Linked DNA regions of Drosophila melanogaster. The protein of the gene in region 1 interacts with the protein of each later gene in a pairwise test. Each region holds a gene or a part of one and is shown in the gene's direction. Other genes may lie near its edges.

What was found.
Region 2: the proteins of lms (region 1) and SmydA-8 interact in a two-hybrid assay, tested with the Drosophila melanogaster proteins (one large-scale study listed by BioGRID).
Region 3: the proteins of lms (region 1) and CG4766 interact in a two-hybrid assay, tested with the Drosophila melanogaster proteins (one large-scale study listed by BioGRID).
Region 4: the proteins of lms (region 1) and mfas interact in a two-hybrid assay, tested with the Drosophila melanogaster proteins (one large-scale study listed by BioGRID).

The regions. Positions count from the first base shown.
Region 1 is NT_033778.4:20,553,894-20,561,987, forward strand, and holds lms (lateral muscles scarcer), read left to right. Parts: upstream 1-2,983; 5' UTR 2,984-3,064; coding exon 3,065-3,302; intron 3,303-4,193; coding exon 4,194-4,342; intron 4,343-4,498; coding exon 4,499-5,248; 3' UTR 5,249-6,060; downstream 6,061-8,094. Other genes in the region: Mgat1 (mannosyl (alpha-1,3-)-glycoprotein beta-1,2-N-acetylglucosaminyltransferase), read right to left, coding at 6,147-6,260, 6,314-6,401, 6,460-6,542, 6,600-6,690, 6,756-6,860, 6,921-7,351, 7,413-7,877.
Region 2 is NC_004354.4:2,203,384-2,211,471, reverse strand, and holds SmydA-8 (SET and MYND domain containing, arthropod-specific, member 8), read left to right. Parts: upstream 1-2,793; 5' UTR 2,794-2,987; coding exon 2,988-3,938; intron 3,939-5,008; coding exon 5,009-5,446; 3' UTR 5,447-5,957; downstream 5,958-8,088. Other genes in the region: FarO (fatty acyl-CoA reductase in oenocytes), read left to right, coding at 7,677-8,088; Mct1 (monocarboxylate transporter 1), read right to left, coding at 6,544-6,707, 6,763-6,963, 7,035-7,365.
Region 3 is NC_004354.4:5,995,882-6,003,889, reverse strand, and holds CG4766 (uncharacterized protein), read left to right. Parts: upstream 1-3,092; 5' UTR 3,093-3,693; coding exon 3,694-3,896; intron 3,897-4,389; coding exon 4,390-4,943; intron 4,944-5,067; coding exon 5,068-5,417; 3' UTR 5,418-6,382; downstream 6,383-8,008.
Region 4 is NT_033777.3:11,988,608-11,995,946, reverse strand, and holds the start of mfas (midline fasciclin), read left to right. Parts: upstream 1-2,631; 5' UTR 2,632-2,698; exon of another isoform or gene 2,699-3,094; 5' UTR 3,095-3,134; coding exon 3,135-3,205; intron 3,206-3,803; coding exon 3,804-3,875; intron 3,876-5,944; exon of another isoform or gene 5,945-6,093; coding exon of another isoform or gene 6,094-6,104; intron 6,105-6,423; coding exon 6,424-6,737; intron 6,738-7,147; coding exon 7,148-7,289; intron 7,290-7,339. Other genes in the region: Tk (tachykinin), read left to right, coding at 1-575, 755-983, 1,192-1,205.

The DNA.
Region 1 (8,094 bases):
AAACCAAAAAAAAAATATACAAATAAAAAACAGGCAGGGAAATCCGAGAAGAGCCAACGGAATCTGTTTGATTGTGTCGTAAAAAAAGCGAAACACTCCTATATGATTTAAACTGCATGTTTTGTAAAAATCTAATTTGATAATTGGTTGTAATTTATGAGTCTTGTCTGCTCGCCTGCAACATAAACACCACACGGAATGACGGAATGACGCCTTTTACTCCTCGAGCTCCTCCCCAAGCATGTTTCCCAGAAAAGTGCACCAAGAATTGGAAACTGGGAGCCCACTTCCCATCCACGGACTCCGAATTCGAAACGAGCGCACATTAAATTAATAATATGCAGTTCATTCTCTCCCGTTTTTTTTTTTTTTTTCTTAATTATTATTTATATCTGTCAGTTTATAAGGCGTAGGCTGGTTTTTTGGTTTGCCGGAGGCAGTTTTATGAATGAAATTAACAGCATAAGATGGGTGGAGATCCCAAAATTCATCACCGATATTTATGGCGGTCTTTTGGCAGGATAATGCAATCTGCATTTAATTTCCGCATTAACGAATACGTTCAAAAATATAGAAAAATTTAAGTAGTTTTCATTTAATAATACAAGCTGCTTAACAGGCAATATGTATAAAAAATTATACATATTTATACCACCTGATTGAATGCCTTCTTAATACTTTCTCTCTGCGGTCTGTTCTACATAGTTTCTAAGTACCTAATCATGGTATCATATTTCCATAACCAGCTCTAATAGGTCTTCACACAAATTAGCCTCGAGGCAAACAAATAGACAGCCCAACGAATCAATCAGGATACAGTTTCCCAAGGAGTTCAATGCTCGCCCGCAAAAGGAGTTCCAACATCACCTTCGGCGTAATCGGAAACCACACGAATATCCGAGAGTCAATGGCGTGGGAGTGTCACCGATGCCCGTTCCAGATACAGATTCAGATACAGATACAGATGTTAGTCCGGAGCAGCCCAATGATCGATGTGGCAGCGAGGCAGCAGTTAGATGTAGCTAACACCCTGCAGGACTTGATGCATCATTAGCTGGATGCGATGACAAAAAGAGGGCACAAAAAACATTGAAATTCTGGCCGGAGGACGGACTGTTCCACGCGACTGCCAGTGCAACTCCGGACGTGATTTATGCTGCGTGCGCCTGACAAACACTCGAGAAGTGATGATTTATAATGAAGATGCATGCTCGGTTATTAATTAAATTCTGACGCGACTGCGCTCCATTTAGTCTTAAATGCGAGAACCAAACAAACTGATCTTTAGTTAGCCTAAGGTTATGGTTGTCGTCTTACGCAATAAGGGCCAAAAGATCCTTAATTGATTCGAAATTCCAGAGGCAAATTCCAGTGCAAAGTGGTAAGAGGTATGCAAAATATGTTATGCTGAGAATCTTATAATAATACTTAAACATATCTGCAAGTTCATTTCCTTCCTCAGATTTCTCTGATCCAGTTAGGAAACTTAATATATTGACTTAGCCAAAACAAGATAGAATAGAATACTTATGTTCAGATGTTCGGCTTGAATGTGATTCCATAGATACCCATGGATAGATAGGTTATAAAGTAGCCAACAAATTGGTAAATACTCAAAAATGACGAAGTCGAAACAAAGTCTGCATTCTGTTTGGCAGTGGAATTTGAAATATGGCAAGCAATAGTCGAATATTCATTAAGCGCAATTATGAAAATTAAGTTGTCATTTTGATTTGAGTGCCCGCGACACTCGGGCATGCGGCCTCATAAGCAGATCTAGATCCCCCCCGCATCCGCAACCGAATCCGAATCCCCGCCAGAATTCTCATTAAATTAAATCAAACTGACAGCCCGGCCGGCTAAATGGATGCCCTGCGATTCGTCCCCTTTCCCCTTTTTGCTCCGCCATCTCGGCGACTAATTAACGTGTTTTCAGATATTTTGTTCAAATCGCGCCTGAATAATGAAGACGTTATCATGGGGCATCCGCGCATCCAGGAATGGGCACCCTGTAGCCCAGTAGATGTTGTGGATTTGGCTGCTGGCCAATTGGAAACTAGTGTCAGCCAGGCCGCCGGCTAATTTCTCAGATCCTCCCCTCCATTCGGATCCTGAGTGCCCCTTTTCCATTTTCCATTCTGTCTGAATTATGTGTTCATAATTTCGAATTAATGAAATTTTTACAGGGGGCTTGGGATTGGGATTCAAAGAAATAGAAAGTTATAATATGAAATATCTGTAAGGAAGGTGTTCTAAAAACTCAACAATTAAGTTATGATTCAAAAAATGTTGTGCTTCAAAATTACTGTTTCTCAGATTTAAATTGAATATATTATACACATTAAAAATGTTTCTCAAGCTAGTAGAACCCAATTATGCATTGCGTTACAATCACTTAGACTAATGGCCTTGTATTACTTTGTTAAGAGATTTAAAAAATTCCAAAAAATCGACAAAGAAACCATTTGTACATTTGAATACAATTTTTTGAATGCTGCATTGTTTAAAGAATTCTGAATTAACCCAAAAGAGGACACGTGCCTGCACACCAAAGCACTGAAAACAAATCCAGTCAAAGAAATTGCTCGCCGTTCATTAATCAAATGGATGAAATATGTTGGCAAACGTATTAAATATATTTAGCAAAGCCATCGAAATATTAAATAGCGCTACTTGTAGACAATTAGCCAAAAATTATGACTTTTAATCACGGGCAAGGCGACAAAAACAATTTCGAAAACCCAGAAGACGGCGTTGAACGCGAGCCACGCCCCTCATCCCAAACATTTCACACATGTTTTAAAAATAACCGAACTTGTGTGCTGTCTTCAGTGAAAATCGAATAGTATGTTTCTGTTCCTTTCTGTCGTTCTATTTGCGCATATGGTGTGAGCGGTGCGGAGATATATGATTTTAGGCTCCGCCCCGCCAGGCGATCATCTTGAAAAATCGGCCAGTGAGCAGGATGCTCCGCATATTCAAATTAGTTTTCCGTAAGATCTCCACGCGCGCTGTTGTCTCCGGAATATCTTCAAAATATATATCGCTCGCAATCGGCGGAAACATGAATTCGCAATCGGCAGTGCGTCGCTATCCACACAGTTTTTCCATCGAACAAATTCTGGCCAAGCCGGAAATGCGCAGCTCCACTTCCTTTGAGGACTCCGTGCAGGATGAAAGCGGTCGCGGTGGCAATTGTCTCGGTGCTTCACGGGCTTCCAGTCCGGCAACATCGAGTTGCTTGGATGACAACATGGACGACGGCAAAAGTGATATCGATTTGGCCTCAGATGATGGAAACGGTGCGTATGATCGATATGCCGGAATATAAGCTTTACAACGACGAGAATTTTGGTGTCTGGAATTGGATTTGGGATCTAAAAACTTAACTTAAAGCTCAATTGGATCCTTATTAAATAGCAAATATACAAAATATAGATTTATACTGAACTTCATCAGGATAAATAGCACCAACAGCCAAATAGTCAGTGCTTTAGTGCTTTTAAGTGTAGTATTATCAAGGTTCAAGGAATTATCAAGGATCTTTCAAATAATACAGTTACAATATACAAATTTTAAATTCTGAAAAAAAATGTCTCTAAAAGATGATTTACCTCCTAATGGAATCACCCATAACGAGCTCAGCACAGCCGTTCATTATTGTATGTAAATATGCAATGAGTTTCCCACCTGAACGAATGAGTGAGTGCCTATGGCTGAATGATCTCATCTGTCATCCGTGCGATCAAGAAACAAATGATCAGAAATTAGCTTCTGGGTGACAGGGAATAAGCCATCCATTCCATATCCACATTTTCGTCGACACCAACGCAGTCGACTAATGATGCAAATGTCACAAGCGAACAAAGATCGCTGGCGATCTCAAAGGAGATATTCTTCCACCCGTTAAGAAGGAATTTATATGGCTATTTGTTTTCGGTCGGCCAAGAGAATGTATGCCAAAATGGCCAATTAGACGCCTTGGCTAAGTGAAATGCAACAGTGTGATTTGCAATTTGCCAGGGGTTTTGCGGTGCGACGGGGCATTTTACATACACATACAACTGTGCCAACAACGGATCGACAAATTACCATTAGGCGAAAATAGTTGGCACCGCGCGCCGGATTGCCCGCTGTCGGTAGCAATAAATGTCTAATTGGGATTTCGATTTCCCACTTTGATTCCATTGCAGGCCTTGGTGATGACCGCAAAAAGCGACCGCGTACCGCCTTCTCGGCAGCTCAAATCAAAGCACTGGAAACGGAGTTCGAAAGGGGAAAGTATCTTTCGGTGGCGAAGCGAACTGCACTGGCCAAGCAGCTGCAGCTCACAGAAACGCAGGTTAGTTGTGGAATCTATCAAAAAATTTAATTACTACCCAAAAAAGTTTGCCATTCTATCTAAAAGCGATTAATAACATGAAATGAAATCCCTTGTATCTATGAGATACAATTGGCATTCCTCGTAAATAATTCATTCATTCATTTCACTTTTCAGATCAAGATCTGGTTCCAAAACCGCCGCACCAAGTGGAAGCGCAAGTACACCTCGGACGTGGAAACGCTGGCCTCGCACTATTACGCCCAGCTGGGTATCGGGGGATTGGCCAGGCCGATGGTGGTTGGTGATCGCCTTTGGCTCTTTAGCCAAACGCCAACGGGTCCCACGCCCATTCAGTCCATTATGCTAAATGGCAGTGGCTCCGCTGCACCCATGGCCTCAGCAACGACGGCCACCGGCTCACCCATGCGTCCGTACGCGACTAGCGGCGGAATGCCACCGTTGCCGGGTCCCAGTGTGATGGAGAGTGCCCGTAATGCCATACTGGCACGTGGACAACCCTTGAACTTCGCCCTGCCCTTTGGCGTGGCTAAGCCGCCGGCGGGTGGTGTGCCTGCGGCCAGCTACATCCCTCGCTGCAAGCCGTATGCGACCAGCTATGTGGACTACGCGGCGTCACTGCCAACGAACGAGAGCTATCTGCAAATGAAGTACGCGACGCTGCCGCCGGAAGCGGAAAGCGGCGCCTCCAATGGCCTCGCCGAACTGGAACGCGTCTTTGGGGATGCCAATGCCAACTTTCTGCAACAACGCAGCACGCCAGTCGCTGGAACAGCCACAGCCTACGGCCACGATGGATTAAATCAGGCGCAGCGGAGCCGCAGACCCACACAATCGGAGTCCGAGTGCAGCGACATTGACTGCGAGCATCTGGACGAGGATGAGGAGCCACCTGCTGCGGAGTGAAAAGGCGATTGGTTGTCTTTAGAATTTATGTTCCGTACGTCTCTCATACACACAAAAATATGCTCATACAAAGTGTAGTCATAGGGGGTAGTAGAGTAGGTGTCCTGTCTGGGTTGATTCCATTACAACTAGCTGAGAGTGGCACACTTTCAGATCTGGCCGGGATTACTGGCGTACCCCTGGTGGCTCAGCACTGGTCTAGTTTACGTTGTGGTTCTAGTACTAGTACTAGCGCTAGTTATTGCTATTCTATGTTACATTGTGTGGGTCGGGTACTGTTTACTGACTGGCTCTCAACAATTAATAAATGTAAATTAAATAATCAAAAATCACAAATATTACACGTCCGTTGCCGTTAGAACTCTAGTTGGATCAACTTAAATGCTACAAATTACACGCTGCATACTATAACTTAACCATTGCTATAACTATTTGCAATTTAACACGATAAATTGAGAGAGATAGACAGATAGAGAGAGCTGTAACAAAAGCGAACGACACTGACTTATTTACAATTCATTGCGTTGCTTGTGTGGCTGGTGTGCTAGAATGGAACACTTTTGGCTCTTGCCACACACAGTTCGGTTCGGTTGACTACTATACATAGTGGAGACTCATTTGATTTGATTTTGTTACGCCAACAGTAGGTCCGTAGGCTAGGGATCTGGAGCAGACGAATTGCGTTTTCTATCAGAAATCAGGGCTAGTACTCCAAGTACTCCTGCCTACGCGATGGCTGCGAACAGCGTCTACTGTTCGAGGAGATTCCATAGTTACAACTTAGCTAATTGGTCAAATAAAAATTAAAACTCATAGGGCTATTTTTGGTATTGCAAGCACGCGGAGCTAGCTGCGTGGTAATGGAAGTGGAGCTGGCGGTACTCTGTCCTTAGCGTCGTTAGCTCCAAGAGAGCTCGTAGCCCTTCCAGTTGGCGTTGGGTGCCAGATGCACGCGCCGTTTGTTGTAGTAGAAGGAGACGATGCCATGGTAGGCAGTCCGCGGAACACCGCTCTACAAAGATTAAGAATAATCATAGTTTCAAGCACATAGATTGATTGATCTACCTTGAAATCATCCATAAGACCCAGCATCTTAGTTGTCCGCTTGTACTGCTCCCTAGTAGTGTATTGAATGCGAACTGGACCTTCGATTCTGCAACACCATAATTGGAATTATGTAGATACTTTCTATATATCATATATCAACTCACCTAATCAGGTTTCGCCGCAGCTCATCGTACGTAACAATGGGATACGTATAAACGCGCCGCAGAAACGTGTTATCGTAATTGTCCTGAACATGAAATAGTTGTTAGTGTAATGAGGCAACAATGCACGGGTGTGTACCTACCTTCAGCAGGTAGCTCATATTGATTTTTGTAAACTGCACAAAGTCCTCGCTCAGTTTAATGTGCTTCAGATACTTATCGAAGAACAAACCGCTGTTAAACAACAAATTATCATTATTAGCTGGCACGTTGCATTGTTAGCTAGCTATATCTCTTACTTGGAAACGCCTATTTTTCCAAACGTGCGAGTGCGTGATATTTCGGGCCTAATGCACACGCGATCTTTGCGCTGGGCGGGATGACGTATCCAATCATCCCAGAAGCTAGAACAGTTAATGAACCATTAGCGATTGGCTGGCAAACACCATAATTGCCCCACTCACGATTTGGGCCATTTGACCGACAGCTCGGCCCACAGATCTTTGGTGAGCATCCAGCCGAGACCGGGAAAGAAATCGGTGCGGTAGAGCAGCTCCGGCTGCGCGGCGTCCACAACAGCAGCCTTGCCATTGTCATTCCACGCGGACACGCACCACAGGCTGGGGTCCTGCTTGAGCAGCTTGTGCGTGCCCAGGAAGTACTCAAAGAAGTCGGGCGCCACGTTCAGATCGTCCTCGACGATTATGACGAACTCAAAGCCCACAGCGAAGGTGGTGTTCAGGGCCCAGCCGTAGTGTCGGGCTATCTTGTAGTAGCCTTTGAATTTTTTCTCCTTCGGCAGCACTGTGATGTCGCTGAGATCAGGCTGCTCGATGAGCGTGACCTGTTTGCCATACGAGAGGATTGCCTCCTTGGTGGGCTCATCGCCGCAGTCCTGTATTAGAGCATAAGTATAAGTATAAGATTTAGATTGGGTAGCCCATTTCGATCCCTACCTGTGACACAATAATGGGGAACTGCTCCACGCTGGGCCTGTACTGAACCAAGTTATCGATGCACTTCTTCACCGACACCCGATTGCAGGCGAAGACTACGACTGGAAACACGGGCTCGCCATTGGCCAGATATGTTTTCGTTGGAATGCGCGCCGTTGCCGACTTGGCCACATGCTGCTCCGGCAGCTCCGCCGATATTTCGGCGGCAATTATGCTAATTTGCGGCGTGGATGCCACCGACGGTGGTTGCTTCTCCAAGTACTTCAGCTTGACGAACTCAAACACGTTCTTGGCCAGATGATGGCTTTGCATATTGGCATCGCGAGCCTGCGAGTTGAGCTTGTAGGCCTGAAGCGACTGATGCCGGCTCGTATGGATGCCCGTTTGGCGCAACAGCAGGTAGTAGGTGGCATAGGTCCACGTAACCAGAAAGCCAATTACCAATAGCACCTTGCGCGTTCGCATCTTTTTGGGGGGAAATTGGTGGGTGGGGGTGCTGATGGAACTGGTGGACGTCTGCTGCAGTGCGTCGCTAGCGATGCAGCGGCATTGGCGATCGGTTTTGGATACGGATTCGGTGGGATTGGAAGACCTCGGCCGGCCCTTCTTCTACAGCCGAGCACCCGTGTCGAGCAGCCGTGTCCAACAAGCGTGTCCAGCATCGGGCACGGGCCCAGCCGGA
Region 2 (8,088 bases), on another chromosome or scaffold:
AGTTGTGGTCAAAATTCTGATATTTTTTTTACTAAAAATCATGACACATTTGTTTGTCAAAATGAACGACTTTTTTAATGGTTTTTTAGTTGTAACTTCGCAAAATGAAGACGCACAGATACGAAACATACTGTTTTTTGCAGCTGACAACCTCACCTAACGACCCATTTCATTTTTTAGATAATTTGGTAAAAATAATTTTTTGCGAAATTTTCACTTTTTTATAAGGGGTTACATCACGTTTTTTTTCGAAAAATGGTGAAATTTTAAAATTTTTAGCTGGGAATGCCACTGGATAGGAAATTAGGCTACGAATTCAACAAGGTATGGCATTCCACATTTGATCGACTATTACAAAAGTTGTGGTCAAAATTCTGATATTTTTTTTACTAAAAATCATGACACATTTGTTTGTCAAAATGAACGACTTTTTTATTGGTTTTTTAGTTGTAACTTCGCAAAATGAAGACGCACAGATACGAAACATACTGTTTTTTGCAGCTGACAACCTCACCTAACGACCCATTTCATTTTTTAGATAATTTGGTAAAAATAATTTTTTGCGAAATTTTCACTTTTTTATAAGGGGTTACATCACGTTTTTTTTTCGAAAAATGGTGAAATTTTAAAATTTTTAGCTGGGAATGCCACTGGATAGGAAATTAAGCTACGAATTCAACAAGGTATGGCATTCCACATTTGATCGACTATTACAAAAGTTGTGGTCAAAATTCTGATATTTTTTTTACTAAAAATCATGACACATTTGTTTGTCAAAATGAACGACTTTTTTATTGGTTTTTTAGTTGTAACTTCGCAAAATGAAGACGCACAGATACGAAACATACTGTTTTTTGCAGCTGACAACCTCACCTAACGACCCATTTCATTTTTTAGATAATTTGGTAAAAATAATTTTTTGCGAAATTTTCACTTTTTTATAAGGGGTTACATCACGTTTTTTTTCGAAAAATGGTGAAATTTTAATATTTTTAGCTGGGAATGCCACTGGATAGGAAATTAAGCTACGAATTCAACAAGGTATGGCATTCCACATTTGATCGACTATTACAAAAGTTGTGGTTGTGCTAATGTAATAATATTTATCATGATAGCTTTAAAGGACTCATGGTCGATAATGCCCGAACGCACCCTATAATTTTTCAGTTGGTATTCACGCTTTTTGATATTTGGCATTCGAGTGCGTTCTATTCGCTTCATGCCGCTCAGTCTAGCTTCCGTTCGATTGGGCCAATAAAATGCGCGTAAAAGTGAAAATAGATTTGGAATGTGGGCGAACTATAAGTTGCTGGCGGTCCGTAGCAGGAGCAGGGAGAACGGAGGTCGTACGCTTTAGAACTGATTTACGTATTACCGCAGAGAATGGGCGTGGCAGGACGAACCTACTCCACTTTGGAACATGTGACAGTGCGTGACATTCGCGTCGGAAAGTGAACAGCTGGGAGTGGAGCCACCCCATTTTTGGTCATGGTCCTGGTACTGGTCCTTCTCCCCACCAGGTCACGTGTTGCGACGCTCACCTCGTTTTGCGGCCTGGTGTCTCCGACCCCTTGGCCCCTGGAACACGCAACTCATTGGCCAGCGAAGCCCTAATTTATGTCCCGGCCACACGCACTGCCATATGTAGTTAGACCCGCAGAAAGTGGGTTGCACTGCCAGCCAGGATTGTAGTACTCATTTCTTATTCTACGTTGTATGCATTTAGGCAACACTCTCCAGGGCTTACAGTCCTATCCATGAGCGGCCTATTACGTCGTGCACTCATTTTTGGCCAGTGTAGCAGCGTGGGAGACAAACACGCTTGGTATCAATGGCGCTGCATCTCCACAAATAATTTTGCCAACCGTTCAGATTGTCGTAGGGCGACAGAAATCGGATGAAGATGGTGATAGCGATGGGATGGGGGTGGAGGTGGGGATGAGATGGGGTGGGTGGTGCTCCTATGGCTTCGTTTCAGTTTATGGCGTCCATAACCAACCGCAAGCAGACTTCGGTGAAGGGGGCTGGGGGTTTCAGCCACAGTGAGGTGTTTGGCGAACAAATTGACAGTGGGAAATGTTCTTTGATGGCTGAATGGCTGATGGCTGATGGCTGCATCAGTGCCTTTCACTATGCCCCTCGCGATCGTCAACCCCCGATGGACGCCCACTAGCGAATCCAATTGAACGCAACAATAGCAACCACAGCAGCGGCAGCAACAACCACACGGCAACAACAGCTCAAGCACAAATTGAATAAGAGTCAAAAGCAAAATCCGCTTTGCGTCGTCCCAGCCAAATGTCTCTATTTCCCAGTGGCGCACCAAGTGGCTCCACGTTCCCGACTCCGAAAACGTTTCGAAACCGCTTATCGCGGAATCAAAACTTTTGGCTTCTCACAAAAAGTGTTGAACTTTTGTGTCAAGCTGCCTAAAAATAGCCCGAATTTTGGCCAAAACAATGAACACAATGCTCAAGTTCTTTCCTTCGGGGAAAATGTTATTTTGGATTTCGTAAATGGGAACTTGGCGGCGAGTGTGTGTGCTTTCAGTGTGCGTGTGCCTTGGAAAAAATCATATTTGACTGTTGTCGCTGTTGTCCCCTTGCCCCCCCATTTCCCGTTCCTCACCTCCCGGCCCCTTTCGTCAATCGCCTTCCCCCGTTCCCTGGTGGATGCCTCTAATTTGTGTTTTTTTAGTTGTGTCTAATGCTCTCCGAGGGCGTCGGTGTGTCCACGTCATAAGCGTCGCTGCTTTGCTGGGTTGCTTCCACTGTCGGCAGTCAGTTGTTGCTGTTGTTGCTGATGTGCTGGGTGGTGTTGCTGCTGCTGCTGCCGCTGCTCATGTTGCTGCTGTCGTCGCTGTCGCCACTATATCGTTGCTATTCCCGCGTAGTCCGCCCAGCTGCGCGGAGACATCTTCACTCGCCGAGTTGCCGCGCGTCGCGTTGGTTCGCCGCAGTTCCGACCGACCTCCCACCGCAGTCGCCATGTCTACTGCTGCCCAGTGCCCGCCTCCTCGCCCAGGCGGTGGTGGAGGAGACACCACACTGGCCGCCCTGAGCGCTCACATGGCCCCTTGTCGCGACACCACGCCCGAGCAGCTGGCGCAGCTGATAGACGTCCACTTGGGGGATCTGCGCCAAGAGCAGCCCAACTGGACCATCAGCTCCTCCACGGTGGCAGGTCGTGGGGTGTTTGCCACCCGAGACATAGCCGCCGGCGAGCTGATCTTCCAGGAGCGAGCCCTAGTCACCGGTCCGACGGCGAGAAAGGGCCAACTGAGCAGCTGCATCTGCTGTCATGAGACCCTGCCGCAAACGGGATTCCTTTGCCGGCATCGCTGCACCCTGCCCGTATGCGAAACCTGTTCGGATTCCGAGGAGCACCAGGCGGAGTGCGAGCACTTCCGTCGCTGGCAGCCCAAAGACGTGGATGCGGAGCAGGAGCAGGTGAATCCTATGTCGCTGAGGATCCTCACCGCAGTGAGGGTCTTCCACTTGGGCAAGGAACAGCGGCATCTGGTGGACGCCATGCAAGCGAATGCGGAGCGCGCTTACCGGCGGGAGATCATCCAGGCGGCCCAATGCTTCCGGAACTTCCCCACCACGGATCGGGTGTTCATGGACCAGCTGTTCCGGATCGTGGGCGTGCTCAATACAAATGCCTTCGAGGCTCCTTGCCGCTCTGGCGGCCACGAGACGCTACTGCGGGGTCTGTTCCCGCTCACGGCGATCATGAACCACGAGTGCACCCCGAACGCTAGTCACTACTTCGAAAACGGTCGACTGGCGGTGGTTCGGGCTGCGCGCGATATTCCCAAGGGCGGTGAGATTACCACGACCTACACCAAGATCCTCTGGGGCAACCTCACCCGGAATATCTTCCTCAAGATGACCAAGCACTTTGCCTGCGACTGCGTGAGGTGTCACGACAATACTGTGAGTACGGTACCAATAGGAATCCTGGTCTCCTTGGGTAATCCCTCCTCCCACCATCTGCAAGCTTAGCTTCTGACTATGGTCATTTCTAGGCTGATGGAGTTTCTTCATGGTTAATAGCAATCTTCGCCAAACTTTCCACCAATCCTCTTTTTCTGAACCTACCTGATAGCTATCATTCTCCCTATCCGCCATCTGCATCGCGACCATCGCAATATATTTGTCCCAAAACAAAAAACAATAATTGCAATTTGAAAAGCTCTGAATTTCGGGCACATTTCTTGGCCAACGCCGATGTCACCGGCGTTGTGAAAGTGCGCGTGTGGTAGGGATGTGAGTGGCATGGGCATATATGTATGTACGTACGCGATCCACATATCCGGCCGGCCACATCTATTTATGTGGCCGCTCTCTGCCGCTCTGGGATGAGTTGAATAATGGCCTCTGGCGTTGGCAGTGGCCGCCGCTGGCCAGGCCCCCTGACACAAATGCGTTCCCTAATTAAATTAGTTATATGATTTGCATCAACCAGGGCCCAGGGGCGCGCCCAAGGGGGGGTGTCCATCAAGTGGGCAAAGGGGCAACATTTGGTAACAGGCACACGCACTTTTCCCTGCTAAAATGACTGCCTGATGGGCATAGTAACAAAATTACTTGTTGGGAGTTGGGTGAGCTTGAGACATCTTTGTCACAGCCCTGCAGTCGTTGGACAGTTCCATTCTTGCTATTAAATATACACCTTAAACGCACTCTTGTTCAAGACCTCCGAGGCATACATTATCAGTCCATTGATCCTATTTGCCTATATGCCTTTAATGTGGGCATCCAAAGTTCCCGGGCTACTAACACACACCCCCAAAATTTACATGAGCATGACACACAGAATGTTAATTTTGATTTCGATTCTGATTTCGATTTCGATTTCCATTTCGATTCGGAGTGGAACCAACTGTACGCCGTGAATGGACAGAGGCGGACGTGAACCCGCCGGATCTTTGACTGCAGATTCCACCCCCGATTTCCTGATTCCCCCCAAGTCCTTCGATTCACTGACCATTGTCTTCTTGCAGGAAAACGGCACCTACTTGTCGGCGCTTTTCTGCCGGGAACAGGGCTGCCGTGGCCTGGTGATTCCCGTCCAGACTCGGACACTGCAGCCGGACTGGCGGTGCATCACTTGCGAGAACGTGTTCCCGCACGCAAAGATGGCCAAGTACCAGGACTTCGCGCTGAACACCATCAATAACCGTATCAACTCGTGCAGTGTCCAGGACATGATCCACTTCATCAACGAGCTGTGTCCGCGCTTCTGTCCCTCCTCGAACTACGTGCTGATCGAGGCCAAGCTGAATGTGATCTGGAGGATGACGCGGTTCGACCACGAGGAGTACACTCCGGAGGAGATGGGCCACATGGATCGCTACCGCGAGGAAGTGTTGGCCATCCTCCACAAGCTGGGAGCCGGAGAGTGTACCCTAAAGAAGCTGATCACCGGGGAGATTCAGTGATTCATATTTAGCTTCAAAACTTCATTTTTTTTTTTTTAGGTGTGAATGAGTGAGTGCTTTTGTGAATGCGTACTTTTCGGGGTGGCGTGAATCGCATCCGAGCCCTTTGTTGCTATTTTATTCGTAGTCACTTAAGAATCCAATAAACACCGAATCCTTTCGAACTATATCTGCAATCCGTTCTGTATGTGGACCCCTTTCGAGGAACGCCTCTGTGCCCTGACAATAAATATGAATAGCCAACTAGCCACGAAGATCACCGGTCTGCGATTGACCAACAAGTTGAAAATTGCCACGATGTAGATTCTCTGGGCTCTCATTCGTTTTTTTGGGATCGTCTTGGCAAGCACTGTAGTATGTGAAAGGAATGCTGTGTTGACGAGGAGCAAGTCGACTGGGCAGTATGTATATGGCATGTGATTTATATGGTACATGGATTATCTATTGCATTTCTGGGGCTATTGGCCAAAACTGATTGCAGTAATCTTAACGCGTATGAATTTCTAGAGCCTGTATCTTTCGTATTTGATTTCGTAAAAAATAGATTGTTTCAAGCACAACGCTACTTACCCGCACATTTCATATTCCCATTGTCAGGGGCATGTGTGGTTTTTCAGCCAATCGATTTCAAAATGGACTTTTGTGGTTTTCTGTTGTTGTACAAAAGCTTTCTTTAATGGCGCATACACAGACGGACACACACGCACAGGCATACAGTCATAATAGAATAACAATAATTTGGTATGGGTACATGTACGTGTAGGCATACATTTGCATGCACTTGCAATGGGGGCCTTTAATGGGGTCTGGGGTCAGGGGTCAGGGGTCTGGGGTCTGGGGTCAGAGGTCATGGCTCGGGGGACAGAAGCCGGCGGTTCGGTGACAGTCGCCCGTACACAATTATTCGGATATGCCATAGCTGCGGCATACACGCATACCTCGGTACATGGCTGGCCTAGGTCTAGGACTTAATCTAACCAAGTGTCGTGTGCATCAGTACGTATCTAGATTTATAGTTACAGTAGAAAAAAAAACAAAAAAATATGGAGTAGGAATAAACAGGGCACTGTGGGTGGTGGATGGGTGGCGGTGAACTACTAACTAAGGGCCAGGTGCTCGGTGTGGGGCTTTCGCTCCGACTTGCGAACCTGCAGGCGCTGCAGCGGCGGAATGGCGAACATCACCAGTCCGCTGATGGCGATCATGAGTCCGGCCATCAGGAAGGCCGGCGCATACGAGTCCGTCAGGTCGTACATCCAGCCTGGAGAGCAAAGGTCAGACACATAGCACTACTTCCAGCTATGGCGAGTACTCACCTCCGATGGGCGGACCGATGAAGCTGGCAATACCCTGGAAGAGCAGCAGCAGGCCAAAGGCGTTGGTCAGCTTGTCCAGTCCCAACAGGTCCACCAGAATGACCGAGGTCAGGCCCACATAGGCGCCGATCGTGAAGCCAAAGACGCAGCAGTAGAAGGCCAGGGATTGGAAGTCGTGGCATAGCGGCACCATGGCAGTGGCTAGTGGAAAGGGAACGGAGGAGCAGGATGGGATTAGTCTGAAGGTCGCGCCGATCAGATCACAAACTTACAAACTCCGCAGGCGGTGAGGCAGACGTTGTAGACCAGGAGGCGGTTCACCCACGGTTTATCCGATATGTAGCCCAGGATTATGCGGCCCACTGTGTTGGCCACGCCAATCGTGGATATCAGATAGCTGGCATCCGTCTTGGTGAGTTTCAGGGTCTCCGCGTAGGCGACCACATACAGGTACGGAACGTTGAAGCCAATGCTCGTGCAGAAATTAGACACGGAGAAGATCACGAACACCATGTCCTTGAGCAGAGAGAAGTTCATCATTTCGGCGAATGTGTCGCGGGTCTCCTTGGAGCAAGTGATGCAGCCACAGCATTTGGCCTCCTCCTGAAACGGATGAATCGGCTTATCATCATCAATCCTATATATTATTAACCTAAGTGCAGGGAGTACGGCAGCTCCACCTCATTGGAAGTGGAACCCGCTTAAGGTCAGCCCGATCCGGGATTGCCGGGCCACTGTCAACTGTAAAGTGCTTACGATCGCATTGAGCCCGAAATTAGCATGAAATGTAGTGGCGCAGCTCATGTTTATCAAATCACGGATTTAATGAACGCGCGCCGACTAGCGTTCAGTTAAGCGGATCGACCCCTGGAGCTGCGTTCCATTGCTTTGCGGGCTTTGGTCAGTGAATCACAATGCACCATCCACTATCCGGGGAAATGGAGGAATTCTTCGAGGATAGCGAAATATTCGTGACGGGCGGATCGGGAGTGGTGGGCAAGGCGCTGGTCGAGAAGCTCCTGCGCTCCTGCAACGTTCGGCGCATCTACGTCCTGCTGCGTCCTCGCAAACAGCTAACAGCGGAGCAGAGACTCGTCCGACTGCGGCAGGCCACTGTCTTCCACGTACTGGCCGTACAAAAACCCGAAGAGCTGGACAAGATCGTGGCGGTCCCGGGCGACGTCTCTTTGCCGGGACTGGGCATCGATCCCTCGATGATGCAGCGTATGAAAGGTGTTTCCCTGGTCTACCACTGTGCCGCCACGGTGCGATTCGATGAGCCGCTTCGCGAGGCAGTACGTCTGAATGTCGGAGGCACCTTGGAGG
Region 3 (8,008 bases), on another chromosome or scaffold:
GAAGGTAAAAAAAACCGAACCAAATGGGCTTTACGGGCATGATATGGAGAATCGATGATGAGAGGATGCACTCCTCACTGGCGGATCGTGTCGCTGATTTGTTCGCTGTCATAATTCAATAAAGTAGTCAAATGTCAGACGGACTTGAGCAAAAAGCGCCGGTCCGTCAGCAAGTGAAGTTTCCCTGATCGGCGATCTCCGCTCTGCCATGTCCCCATCCCCGATCCTCGAGAGCGGATCAAAAAGTAGCACCACACACGCACCAGCGCCGGGTTAATGGCCATAAACGCAAATCCGCTTAGCATTGCAACGCAATGGAGATTGGAGGATGGAGGATCGGAGCGAATGGAGCTGGAGCTGGAGGATCGGGAGGGAGCAGGACCACTTGCAGTCTGGAGTGGATTGGATGCTTATTAATTCATCACACGTTTCAGCTTTGCGTCGACATGCGATGGGAATGTCATCGACGACCAATGACCAAAGCCTTTAAACAAATTGGGAATTACAAAGTGCTTTGAGGTATAAATATCAGAAACACTCGAGTATCAATTCACCAGCTGTTTACTTGGTATCTGAGTAAAAGCCATAGTATCTATGAGTTATGTGAGAAATCATGAAGCCTGGAAATGTCAATAAAGTCTAGAGTCTAAGTCTAAAACTAAGGTCTATAAACTACAAAGTAAAGATAGTTACATAAAGCTTAGAAAACTTTTAACTTTGTATATGCACATGCGATAGATACTTTTTTGCTTTGCTTGCCTGATTACACCATAACTTTCTCAGATCTAGATACATGATCTTTTTAATCGGCTCGCTATTTCCCAGAATTGGAGGTCCCAGCTCAGCTGAACAGCCTGATTATGTCTATGTGCCGGAGGAATAAACTGCGCTGAATGGTTAGTGAAGGGACTAGAATCGTAACGGAGTCCGATGGGATCCGATCGGATCGAATGGGATCGGATCGGGATGGTATAGGATGGGACAGGGGCACTAAGACAAAAGAGACGATGACGCGGCGACGAAGGAGCAGAGCTGGCGGAGCAGCAAGAAGACAAACGTGGCGGCGACAACGGAGCAAGTGACAAACGTTTAGATGGATGGATCGTTCTTCATTTCGGGGGAACGAGAACTGAACTGAACCGAACAGAACCGAACCGGACCTCTAGAACGGGCGGTCAGTAACCAACCGAAAAAAAAAAGCGACGATTGCACATAAATTATATTCAAATTTCTTTGAGATCTAAGAGATATATAAAATACGGGAAAAACACACACATGCCACATGAAGTCACATGAATGGTCGGCGACCCCGAGACCCACGATCCTGGGTCTGAAAACCGAAAAACTGGAAAAAAAAATAAAAAAACTGTGTAGTTCTCCTTGTTGTGGCCTTTTTTTTAGTTTCCTCTGTTTGTTGAAATTTATGCAGATATGCGCGCATCTAGATAGGAGTTCCAGTGCCACCTCCATCTATCTGGTTACGTGGAAATCCAGCGCGCCAAAAATCAGCCAAATGCCATGGAGTGGTGAGGAGCACCTGGCATCGTCGTTCTCTCTAAAATGGTATCCCATCCAATCGTATCCCATTCATTGGGGCTCCATTAAAATTCGGCTGACAGCAACGATTCACGGCCCCAACAAATTGGAATGGGCTGAATACTATTTAGATATGGCTAGATCTGCTCAAACTGCCACTGATTGATGTCAATAAAGCCGAACAAAAGACCTAACAGCCAACAAAAGATACAGTGGGCCTTCGTTAAGTGGCCAAAATTAGTTTAAAGGGCCATCTAATTGATCATATTCGATATATAGTTTTTTTTAAGTATTTCGCTGTATATATTTCCTAACTTATACGTTTTTTAAAACTTTTAGTTCACTGCATCTCTTTCCATATATGTATGTATCTTAAACATTTTGTATCCATACCTTGCAGATACGTCTTTAGATACTTCCGTCACCATGGGATGCTTGACCCCTTTTTTCCGCTTCCTTCTGCGAAAATTCTGCTGGTCGTCGGCAATTGTGTTCGGTTTGTGTTTTGCCTCCACTCGAATTAGTGGCTGCGTTTGGGATTTGTCTAATTGGAGGAGGCGACGGGCGCTTTGATCTTGCCACATGTCCATCAAGTACACTACATATATGTATGTATACACGATGTACATATTATTATATGGTATATAAGACGTACGGAGAGGGGGAAAGGCGGTAACCGAGAACGGAGGAAGTTGCTCGCTTGGAACTGAGAGCGCTGTCAGAAATTGCCAACTGGCACATTAATCCACGCGACATATTTATGAGTGTAAATGTATCTGTGTATCCGCGAGATGCGAGATATAAAGATATCGGCCGGCAAACGTGGGACATGGACGAGGGTTGCTCGTTGCTCGCTGCTCTTTGCTAAATGAGTGCACATTTCAGATAAATTATTGCACACAACTTGTACGCGATGGCAGGCCGAAATGTATTTAACAAATTAAATTTACACACAGATACACACACCGCGGCTCGCAAGACTTCAAAGAGGGCGCCGCAGCGTAACGGCCGCCAAATGGGGCGTGGCCTCGACGGGCCAATGGCAACGCGCCGCTCTCACAGATACACAAGCAGGCAACCCCATAGATACACCCATACGCATGCAGGCCAGAGAGACAGACAGAGAGCGTATTTGTTTTTAGTACACGCAGAAAAATGAAGTTCTGTTTGTGTTTTTTATTTTAATGTTAACTAGTAATTTTAGTCAGAACCTTAAGTAGGGAATTATATTAAATCAAATAACCGAACTATTTCTTCTTTGAAAAATATAACATTTGTGATAAGAAGAAGTGGCTCTTTGCTACAACAACTAAGAAAGAGTTACTATTAGAATTGTATCTATAACGTTTAAAGTGCCTAGATTTTTGTCAAAGTGCATCTGGCAGATACGACAGATACGCGGGGCCTGTGGCGAGTATCTCATCGATTTTTTAAGCGTCGGAATGCGTGGCACGAGACAGAGACCCCTGTCACGTGACAGCACCGACATGTATCTGTATCTTTGTGTGTGCAGCTGTGTGTATCTGAGCCTGTGAGTCCCATTCATGCCACTGCCACCGAGATGGCGGATTTGTTAGATACTGGCATGGATATTGAGATACTTCGCTGCAGCCGGGCCAAACTGCACTTTCAGCGCTTTTTTTTTTATCTGCCCGAAGCTGTAAATATCCGCGAGATTTACAACGCCAGCCAGCCGCGACTTCGGTATCGGTATCAGTATCGTTTGGCTGACTTCGATTCGTACTCGGAATCGGCATCGGCATCGGCAGCGGCATCAGGCTGGGGGTATCGCTATTGAGCGCAGCGCATCATTCGGTCAGCAATTCGCCAATGCAGATACTGTATCTGCGGGCAGCAGCTACTAAAATTGAAGAGCCAAAAGCTAAAATACCCATATACATACTCGGTACACCGCGGTCATCGTCGTCGTCGTGCTCCACTTGTGCCCATTGTTGGTTCTGCTGTCACCGTAACTCACAATTGAATTGTTCCTTTGTTCTGTCCCGTCCAGAAGGAGACCCGCTGCCGAATTTCGCATAATTGGCTGGCTTTTAAGTTGGCCGCCAGACCAAGTGTCGCCGGTAAAAAGATACATCTACAGATAGATCGTTGTACTTTTGGTACTTTTGGAGCTTGGTGGAACTCGAACTGAGTACCATGCTGGTGCCGCCGGACATGATGGCCGCCCAGACGCGCATGGTCTATCAGATGAATCGATTCTGCACGGAGAGGGTTCAGGCCAGGATGTACAAGACGGCCACCGCCATCCGGGAGATCTGCAAGATCGTCCAGGACATCCTCAAAGAGGTGGAACTGCAGGAGCCGCGATTCATCTCCAGCCTCGTCGAGTGCAATGGCAGGTAAACTTTTTCAGTATCTTTTCATTAGTATCTCAGTATCTTTTCTTTAGTTTCTTAATAACCATATATTAATAACTATATTACCTAATGTTAAGCCGATGCATAAGTTAGCTAATAAAAACGAGAGCTGCTCATCCGATCAGAGATGTCTAGTGTTCCCAACCACAGAGCCATCAACAAGATATCTGGGTAATTCCAGTGCCCTGATGACTGTCATCGCGGCTACTTCTCACTCCAGTAGTTCCACACCATTGCAATCAAATCCGATCCTCTTCACTCCATTGCGATCATTACAACCAAAGTGCAGAGTCATTGTCAGTTAACTGACAAGTCATGCTCATCGAGGTCTCGCCACCAGAAACGGAGTAGCAGTCGCCCCCTATTATACTCATTTCAACACGATAAACTATCAGATTAATATATAGATTTAAAAATATATATATAGTATTGTAAGTAAGCGGTTTCATCGAAATAGTTAACATCACTTTTACAGATTCGAGGGCGTTGAAGTGATATCCCCGAATGAATTCGAGATAGTGCTGTATCTGAATCAAATGGGTGTCTTCAATTTCGTGGACGATGGCACCTTGCCGGGATGTGCTGTTCTGAAGCTGAGCGATGGAAGGAAGCGGTCCATGTCCCTGTGGGTGGAGTTCATAACGGCCAGTGGTTATTTGTCCTCCCGGAAGATCCGTGCCCGTTTCCAGACTCTGGTGGCCCAGGCGTGCGATAAAAGTGTCTACCGCGACATGGTCAAAATGGTGGGCGACACCAGCGAGGTGAAGTTGCGCATTCGGGAGCGATTCGTGGTCCAGATTACGCCGGCATTTAAGTGCTCAGGCATCTGGCCAAGATCGGCGGCCCACTGGCCGGTACCACATCTCCCGTGGCCACATCCCAACATCGTGGCGGAGGTCAAGACCGAGGGCTTCGATCTTCTGTCCAAGGAGAGCGTCATCATGCAGAACAAGAACAACAATGCCGCCAGCATGGAGGGCGATGCCTGGGTGCTCAGCTTCTTCGAGGCCGAAAACCGTCTGCTGCAAGGTAAACATCTTATGGATACACCTTTACACTTACAGAAAAGATCACACAATTTACTAGCAACTTTTAGTATAGTTTGGGAATTTGAAATCTGGTGTATTTAAATCTCATATTGAATTCCTTTCAGGTGGCTGTCGTCGACGTTGTCTGAGCATGCTGAAGACCCTGAGGGACAGGCATCTGGATTTACCAGGCAATCCCATCAGTGCGTATCACCTGAAGAACCTGCTGCTCTACGAGTGCGAGAAGCATCCGCGGGACTTTGAGTGGGACGAGGGCTGCATCGCTGACCGCATCAATGGGATATTCCTGCAGCTGATATCCTGTCTGCAGTATCGCCGTTGTCCCCACTACTTCCTTCCCGCACTGGACATGTTCAAGGGTAAATCCCCCAGTGCTTTGGAGCAGGCGGCCAAGCAGGTGTGGCGCTTGACCCGCGAGCTCCTCACAAATGCCAACGCCTTTGAGAAGTTGTAAGGTGTCAGAGGTTAAAGGTCACGACTGGTCGATAATGGCGATGACATTTTTGGCAGGAATTTATAATTATTAACCGCACTCATAGAGTGAATATTGTTCTTATTTTTTTACCCGTTAGATTAGATTCTTTTGCTCCATTCACATATTGTTGATTTGACTAACTTCTTCTTGCAGTCACGCAAATATCGACCCATCCGAAGTCGGGGGAGTGCTGATGTGTATGAGGTGCCAGGCAAGTCGGAGATGAAAGGTACATATGCGAATAAATACATACGCATAAGCACAGCTCCTTGGCGGCCATTTTGTGCCATGTCTGTGTATATGTGACTGTCTGCGTGCGTGCGCGTGTGTGTGTGTGTGTGTGCGAAAGTGTTAATGCGAAGATGCGAGATAAGTCCACTCCCCATTCGACTCGACTCGACTCGACTCAACTCGACTCGATGCGATTCGAGATATATATCTGCCCATCCAAGCGATCCGGCTAAGCCTCGAATATTGTTTTTAATAACTCGCCCCTCGACGCTCACGACACATCCTTTGTTTGGCCGGCGAACAATGGACTCGCCGGTTCGCAAGTCCGGATGGAAAAATCGAAAAATCGAGAGAATGAAAAAAGAGCATTTGTCCAGGCGGCTCCTTTTACACGGTGGCTATACACACTCGACGTATACGATTGTTTCACAGTTCGCAGATCCTAGATCAAAGCAAAACGAACATACAAAAAATATATAATATATACATATAGCGCTAGAACAGAGGGAGATACAGATTCCATTGATCGTTCCAAGTCCAACTTAACATTGTTTTACTACTTACATATACATATACACATATTTATGTATGTCGATGTCTATTATGCGATGCCTAACATTTACCACGATTATCCGCAGTTTGTTTTAAGTACAACATAATCCTAGATTGCTAATGTAAAAAATGCTTGAATAAATTCAAGGATAGCCAAAGGCAACACTCCAGGTATTGTTTTCCTATCAATAGGGATTGTATTTTAAATCACTTGATTGCTTAGCAAATACTTACACAACACTTGCTGAAAGAACATGGAGAGTTAAAAAATGGATGTTCTTAACTGATATTCATATATTTAAATGAGGCTGACAAACGGAAGATGTACCACAAAAAAAGGACAAATCTGGAAAGGATGTGCTGGGATCTCATTAGTTCGATCGGCGGTTGAGTTAATGTTATGATTATTGGCAGTGGCGAATATTTATTTGCAAACGACGACATATCTGGATCTGGATGTGGATCGGAATCGTCTTGGGATCTGAGGCTGGGAAGATGCAGCTGCTGCAGCGACAACTGAGCATCACTTTTATTACCCTTATTTATGGTTATTTTCTGGCGGGGGCTGGATCCACGAAAACCGAGTGGTTTGCCTGCTTTGTTCTGCGGTTCTTTTGTCCCTTCGCTTTACTTTATTATTTTTCGTTTTTTTTTTTCTTTCTTTCTTTTTTTTTGGATTTTTTGCGGAACGAAAACTTTCAGCGAATGTAATCGATATTTTCCTCGATGGACGCGTCGACAAAAGGTGTCTCTAAACGGAGAGCACGGGATATAATCAGCGTCAGCACAAAGAGCCAGTTGGTCGGAGCGATTCGAGTCCAAGGATATGCCAAGGATATAATAATGCGTGGGCCAAAATAACAAATTATGCCAAGGCACGCAGGGATCATGTTACGCAGCCCTCCATCACCAGCAGTAACCCCTGTGCCACTAACCCTCGACTGGGTGGCTTTGGCTGTGGCTCTAGCTTTGGCTGTGGTCCTGTTCTTGGTCCTGGGAAAAGCATCATCAGGTGACCGAATCGGTATCCGAGTCCGCAGGCGAATCCTCCGCAGGATGCGCACTTGGCCGCCAGCGGGAGGACACGTGACTGCCTGTTTTCCTTAATTTTCATTCACTTTGTGGGTGGAGATGCGACCAGAACCATGTGCCAGTTGCTTCGCATCGATAAGGCACGATTCCCATTGCCCCGTTGACAAATGGTATTCGAGAGGCCATTTAATGGGGGCCAACAGTTAGAGCTCAGTTCGAAGTACCAGGAACCATGACGCAGCACCTGCCCATTCACATGGCCAAGTCCCAAAATCATCCTGATCCCGGGCAGCCTTCTCATTTGATCGGCTGTCACAACTTTGGCGAAGCCACAACAAAATATTGTCGCTTTTCGCCGCTGGATTTTGGTTTGTACACAGATACCCTGGGAATTTTTGAGCATGCTTATAAATCTATCAAAATTGTGAAAACTTTGTGAGTGTGACTATGTCCCTTACATGGATGAAAATTTTAAAATTACAATAGAATTTGATTTAAATAATTGAATGGAAATAGTTTTATTTCACTTCATTTATTTTTTCCAAACAGGATATCTAATGTTCGAATCTTGCGAGTCAATGCTCGTCAGTTTTTTTCCTTTTTGTTTTTCTCGTTGACATTTATGCGCACCCGCCCTCCAGTTTTCGTAGCTCCTGACTCCGTATCCTTCCGTCGAGACCTGCCACGCCCCCAGGCGACTCGTGGGCGGTGACAGGCGACTTGCTATTGCGATGGCGTCGCATTGTCCTGGCATT
Region 4 (7,339 bases), on another chromosome or scaffold:
ACACGGAGACGGAGTCCTCCGGCAGCCCGCTGACGCCCGGCGCCGAAGAGCCGCGTCGGGTGGTAAAGCGGGCGCCCACGTCCAGCTTCATTGGGATGCGCGGCAAGAAGGACGAGGAGCACGACACCTCGGAGGGTAACTGGCTGGGATCGGGACCCGATCCGCTGGATTACGCCGACGAGGAGGCGGACAGCAGCTACGCGGAGAACGGGCGGCGACTGAAGAAGGCACCGCTGGCCTTTGTTGGCCTGCGTGGCAAGAAATTCATCCCAATCAACAACCGCCTGTCCGATGTCCTGCAGAGCCTGGAGGAGGAGCGCCTGCGGGATAGCCTGCTGCAGGACTTCTTCGATCGCGTGGCTGGGCGTGATGGCTCCGCGGTGGGCAAGAGAGCGCCCACCGGGTTCACGGGCATGCGAGGTAAGCGACCCGCCCTGCTGGCCGGGGACGATGACGCGGAGGCGGACGAGGCCACGGAGCTGCAACAAAAGCGGGCGCCGGTCAATTCCTTTGTGGGGATGCGCGGCAAGAAGGACGTCTCCCACCAGCACTACAAGCGTGCAGCTCTCTCCGATGTAAGTCGACTTACCTTGCAGTTAGTTGTTGGTGGCAAGTACAGTGGTTTCTCTTGATGCGCTTATTAAAACACTAAAACCCCATTGCAAATCAGAGTGTTAGTCTTTTTTTGAATAATACATAAAAGAAACCATTGAATTGCATATCTATACATATGTGAAGATCTAATCGACCCCAGTTCTGGCACACTTTTTTTAAAAAGTCCTATGACTTGAGAGGAAAACAGCAGCGCTTCGCCGACTTCAACAGCAAATTTGTGGCGGTGCGTGGCAAGAAGAGCGATCTGGAGGGCAACGGAGTCGGGATTGGTGACGATCATGAGCAAGCTCTGGTGCATCCATGGCTCTACCTGTGGGGAGAAAAGCGAGCGCCCAACGGATTCCTGGGAATGCGAGGCAAACGGCCAGGTACATATTCACAAATTCATTTAACCAAAATGTATTTGGTTAAAAAGCTGTTGTATTTCAAGCTTAAGGTGGCAACCTATTATTAAGGAAGCTGAATAAAGTTTTAAATTAATACATTTATTATTTATTGCTCGCCAATGGGGGGAAACCCAATTTTATACCCAATTAATTATAGATTTTGATTATTCTCTTCCTTTCATCGACACAGCACTTTTCGAGTAGGCGATGTTGAGCGATTTGATAGATCTTGATGGAAGTTCCTCTTAGAGCTACAAAACTAGGAAATGCGAAAGTAGATGGACACAGGGGACCGGGAGAGCAGATTTGGAAACAGAAAATGGATCACATGAGTGTTTTAAATAATCACTGGGCTGGAGATTATTTCAAACACGGACACACAAAAAACACACGGCTAAGAATTTGCTCTGTTTGTCGACACAAAATTTCAGCTTAATGTATAACGAGACTTGCGAATAATTTATTGGGAATTTATTTGAAATTGAATGAGATGCTTCGATGAGTGTGTGGATTCAATTGTACTATTTGCATATCTAAGTGTAAACTTTTAATCAAAATTATGATGAAAATTAAACTAGAAGAAGTTCAAATGCACAAGATAAACAGAAAAGTGGGAAAGTAATTATTTATTTAAAACAAATATATTTAAAACGAATATACTTAAAGATACATTTCAGTTGTGGTACATCTACGTATACAAAATATATATACACCTACATTAATAGCACAAATAAATATTGTAAATAATGAATAAATATTTATTTCAGAAACGGATGATTACGATTTTTCATGGTTTTTCAATAACAACATACTTTGCTTGACTTTGGTAATAAGTAAAAAACGGGCATCTAATATTGACTAAAATCAAAACAATGAGCAATCAAATATAAGAACACATTATAAAGTCTTCTAACAGTTCCAAGAAATTCAATTTCATCTACACATGTAGCTACAAGCTGACATCTTGTTTATACAAAACAATAAAAACCGATCGGAACAGTTTCAAAATATGAGGAGACTCCTAATAAGGCGGAACCGACCAGACACCACAGTGATTGATGGGTGTTAGAGGTTACGGGAATATCGGAAATTCCAAGTGCGCACTACACCTGGCTAGCAAATACAGGTAGGACATTGCCAGAAACGCTCTAGGTGCAGTTTAAACAGAAAATGATTCTAGGAAATTGAAAATACTCGAAATGAATAAGTAGTTTGAAATGCTCGCCAAGCCAAAGTCTGAAATGATATGAGTCCTATATTATAGGATATATTCTTCAGATTCTACACCGTTTTAGTTTGGGTTTTGTATCCCAAATTCTACAGTATTTTGAGTGAAATGTACTATGATTAATAAAAGTGCTTCGTTTCGCTCGCTTCTCTATGAAGTGTTAATAGCTGGCACTTTCACAATTTGTACGAACCTCCTGCCACCCGCACTATTTGCATATACATATGTAAATACACACATACATACATATATAGAGCTATTACCGATTTCACAGCGTCCCCAAAAGTTCTCTCTGTTCTCCCAAAGCTCCCATGATCACTACATGCGTTGATATCGCGGCAGAGGAATCGACGGCGACTGCGGCAGAGCAGCTTATAAATACCAGATGCTCGACGTTCTTGGGCAGTTAGTTTTAAACTGCGACTTGAAGCGGCAACATCGTCGGATCAAGCAACATATAACAACTTTCGTGAGTGCCACAAGTGCCCCTTTTTTACGATTAACTGCAGTAAAAGGAGCCAGAGACATTTGATAATTGAGTGTGTGCCAATTTTTGTAAAAACAAGACAATTGACAATAATTACAAGTGAGTGACAGGCGGTATATGTCGTCTATCCGTAGCATATTTACAATTAATGCGTGAAGACAGTGGAAAATTTTCTTCGTCGACCGTCGCTCTCACTCCCAAAATCAGTCACCTACATACGCGAGTGCAGCGCTGCGTGGAAAACCTGTATTTCTTCGGTTTCTCAGCTGTTTTTCCATCCATCGCGGTGAAATTTCTCGAATCCAACCAGCCATTCAGCCAGCTTCAGCCATTCCCTTGATTACAGCAACTTTCAGCTTGTCTCGTTCATTTACTTAGCTCCCAACCGAGGCTCCAGATTAAAATTGTGATACCAAACATGCTACGGCTGTGGGCCTGCCTGCTCCTCCTGGGATCAATCCAGATCCAGGCGGTTCCATTCTACGGCGAGTGAGTATCAATCCGACAAGTTTTTCGTGCTGTGTAGTAGCGTTCGTTTCATGCACATTTCACGTAGTTTGAGTTGTTTGCGTTGCGGGCTAAATGGTTAACATATGTACATCGACATCTTCTGATAAGGCATGAACTAAATGTTTTATGTTATCGGAACACAATTGAAATGCCAGGAATGCCTGGGACCCACAAAATTGAAATACTTCTCTAATTAAACATATACAATTTCATAGAATCATTGGAACAAAATTTTACCTAACAAGCGCATCCCAAATAACTAAAAACGGAAAAAAATTAAAAAAAAAAAAACACTTTGAAAGAAATACAAAATTAGATCTAAATTGAAACGTTTGATACCATCCATAACAATGTTTATAACAATATTAATGTAAGCCACGAGTTAAAAAACAAGTATTTTGCCATTATTGAAGTTTTACAATAACGCTTTCAAATATATTTTTGAAGACCAATTGGTAAAGTTTCCAAATAATCGTTAATATTAAGTGCTTAAGTCCCATAGAACTAACCCTAGTAGATTTTTCCCATCCGCCCGACCTTTTAAATCTGTCCCAATAAACGAAATGTTGAATTCCAGTTCAAGTTCTGAAGAGGTTGCCGAATTCGATGACTCCTCGGATTCCACACACGAGTCCTCAGATAACTCCAGGTGAACTATAAGTAAACGTAGTTAGCCCAGCTGTTGAGTCCCCAACATTTCCCAGTAGATTTGCTCATTTACAACTACTTAACAAAGCAAACATACCGACGAGGTTTACATGTTAAACAACTTAAAAATGCTTAAACAGTTTCAATATTTTTTTCACTCACGGGTTCCGCTGGGCCCACTGACACCACATAAAAGTTGGCTAATACCGGGTTCAGTGTTTTTTATGACATTTTCAAGCCCAACGAGGCACCGAGCCCTGTTTGTTCTTGGAGAAACTTTTCGCCCGCTAAACGAAACTGCAAATAAAGTTGACCGAAATGTTTATGGTAGCGAAGGCGCTGAAAGAGCGAAAAGTTCCCCCGGAAAGAAAGTCCAAAAGCCCGCCGAGTATTGACCTCAATTGATAAACCTTAAACTGAAATTGTTGAGTCGCAGAGATTGTCTGCCAATAAATCCGCATCGAACTGGGTTCTTTGCCGCCATTGGAAATGTGCAAAGGCCACGATCTGAGTCTTTGGCTTTTATTATTTTTTTCCCCCTTTTTTGCGAAAGATACTGCATCGCAAGAGAACAATGTGCAACCAAAGTGGGGCAACACCGCGGGACTTGGGCAACCAAGATCCACATCTTCTTCCACCGATCTTCTCCGTTCGCTCCACACTTGGCTGACTTTGCCACCTTTGGGTTCAAGCCGCCGCAGGGCTCATCTTTGGCACACAAATCTCGAACAGTTTTGGCCCTGAGAGCAATTGACATTTGACACGGCATTAAGTGGCATATTGTGGGTAATGGGTAATGCGCCGGCAAAAGAATGTCTCCGCAAACTCTATAATCTGCCCTCGAATTGGGTCGCCCACAATTTGGTTCCCCCTTTAACGCTCACAGAATGTTTTTTTTTATTCTGCCTGTCACGGCTGCGCTTAAATTAAATCAGGCAGCCATTTGGTTGGATCCATCTCTGCCCTCGACGTAAACATTTCCCTGGAAATTTCTGTGGCCAATGACTTTCGCTCTGGCTTCAAGCGAACAGAATTTAGTTTGTTTGCAAATTATATTCGATTCACAGATTGGATACGCAGTCTACAAATATTCCAAGTAGTCTTGAATACCATGATCACAAAACAAATACTTCACACATTCATTAATCTTTCACAAAGTACTTAGTCATTGAATTACTGCTAAATGGATATATTTAATATCTTATCAAACAACATACAGTTGATATTATATTTTTGCACAATTTTTAAGATGAAGAGTAATTATTCTAAGATTTCAAAAGTCATTCGCTCTATTGTAAGATTTTTTATTTCTTTATTCAAATCTGTTCATATGAATGTATACATTTTGAAATATTATTTGCATTCAATAATCGACGTACAGTAGTTAAAATAATGAAAAAGAAATAAAATTTTTGACTTATTTCCAAGTAATATAAAATATTTATGATAACGTTTTGAGTAAATATTCTTGCGAATAAATTGTGAATAAATTAAGTGTTCCTTTTTATCAAATATTTTGATGGTTTTTTGATTGATGGACACACAATTGATTTAAACTGAGGTGCATTCACTCGCTCTAGCAATATTATAGAAGTGATTTCCAGAGAATCTGACAAGGTAGAAAGAGAAAAAAAAAAATCAAACTGGCCAAGCCTCTATGTATTGTAATGTCGGCTTAAACCGCCTGTATCTGTAGCTCAGCCAAAGCCGCTTCGAGCCCTGTCGATCACGTCCCGCCTGGATGAGTCATCTTGGACGGAGGCAGATCTCCAACCAGAAGTGAATCGGATACACAGAAGTACCTCAAAGTCAGCAACCCAACAAATTGTTTACGTTTCGCCTTTTCGGGCAGTATTGTTTTATTATTTATTTCCAGCTAGTTTCGTTTCGTATATTTTTTTCATTTAGCACTTATTATGAGCTTTTTTTAATTAGCTCCCGCGAAGCGAATTTTAATGAGCCGCAGCGAAGAAAAAAAGATTTGAAGTTGGCTAACGCGTATGTATGTCTTCATAGAAAGTATCTGAGTCAGTTTACAGATTTCGAATGCATTGGGAGACGCAGAAAAAACCAAAATCCGTTGACATAAATCTCAGTTGATGGATGACAAGTGCAGGAACATTTCTCAAGTTTTGTTCGCCTTTTTCAGCGATTGTTTCGGCACTTAAAAAGTTATTTTCATTTGATTCTAAAAAGAGTTCCACTGACAGGCGCTTAGTATGCGGCTCAGGTAAATGCTGCGCAAAAAACCTAAACAATGAGCACGATCAGCATATATACTACATACAGATAGATACATATATTTAGTTTGGTGAGGATAGAGTTGAGCTTCTTTTTATGCGAGGTAACAATGGAGGCATATGAATTATTGGGTCCCGGTTCCGTTTCGATTCGTTCCGCTCACCAATGGAATTTGCATGAAGGGAACACACACAGACACACACACACACACACACATATGGGCACACAGTAGCCAGCTAATACTGTATACACTAACCACATCACTCTACACCACGTCCACTCCTACGCCCACTCCCACCGTTCTGCAGCTTTATGCCACATTTAACCCACCCATTGCCGGCGCATCGCAATCTGTTCGCGCCCCTGCCCTTCGCACCACTCGCACCGCTCGAGCCCCAAGATCCACTGCATGCCCAGGCCTCGCAGCGGATGGCGAGCGTCTGGAACGGACCCGCCCCGTTGGCGCCGCAACTCCACTCATCTCACCTGTTGCCCCTCTTCAGCAGCGGATACGACACCGAGTTCGTGCCACTGGAGCACCAGCAGCAGCCGCAGGGACGCCAGGAGACGGCGGCCACCGTTCCCGCTCAAACCCCCAGCGGTGTGGAGCAGAAGCCGTTCAGTAAGTGCTCTATATCTCTATAATATACATATATTTAGATATTCGTTTAAAATTTATTAAAATAGAAATCCCAAAACTCTTTTAATTATTTCTGTTGCAATTGGTTTCTAGTCCAAATCTGGAATAAAATCTGAATTTAAATCTGAAATTGAATCTTAGAAACGACCAATTTATAAACTACTTTGCAAAACAGCAAGAGGTAGCCATTCTTGATCAACTATGCTGATCGCTTAATTATAGTGATTTAACAATGCCATAAAAATTGCACTCGCAAAATTAGTATCTTGAAGAATATTATGTGCAAGCTTAATCTCAGCGTAATTTGAATTGTTACTAAAGAATATTTTAAGTGTCTTAAGCAATTGTTAAATTTTATAGTATGGTTTTAATTGCGTTTCCTTACTTCGCAGATGTGGACACCATCACCACGGATGTGAATTCCCCAAATCCGGCCATCTTCTTCCAGCAATCGTTCCCCTTCTTTGGCAATGAGTTCTTCAATTCGTTCGGAGGCTTTGGCTTTGGAGCTGCCCAGGAGCCCTGGTGGAAGGGGTAAGTGCCATCCATTAAGGGCATTTGCCCCCACTTGAATGCTAAAAAAA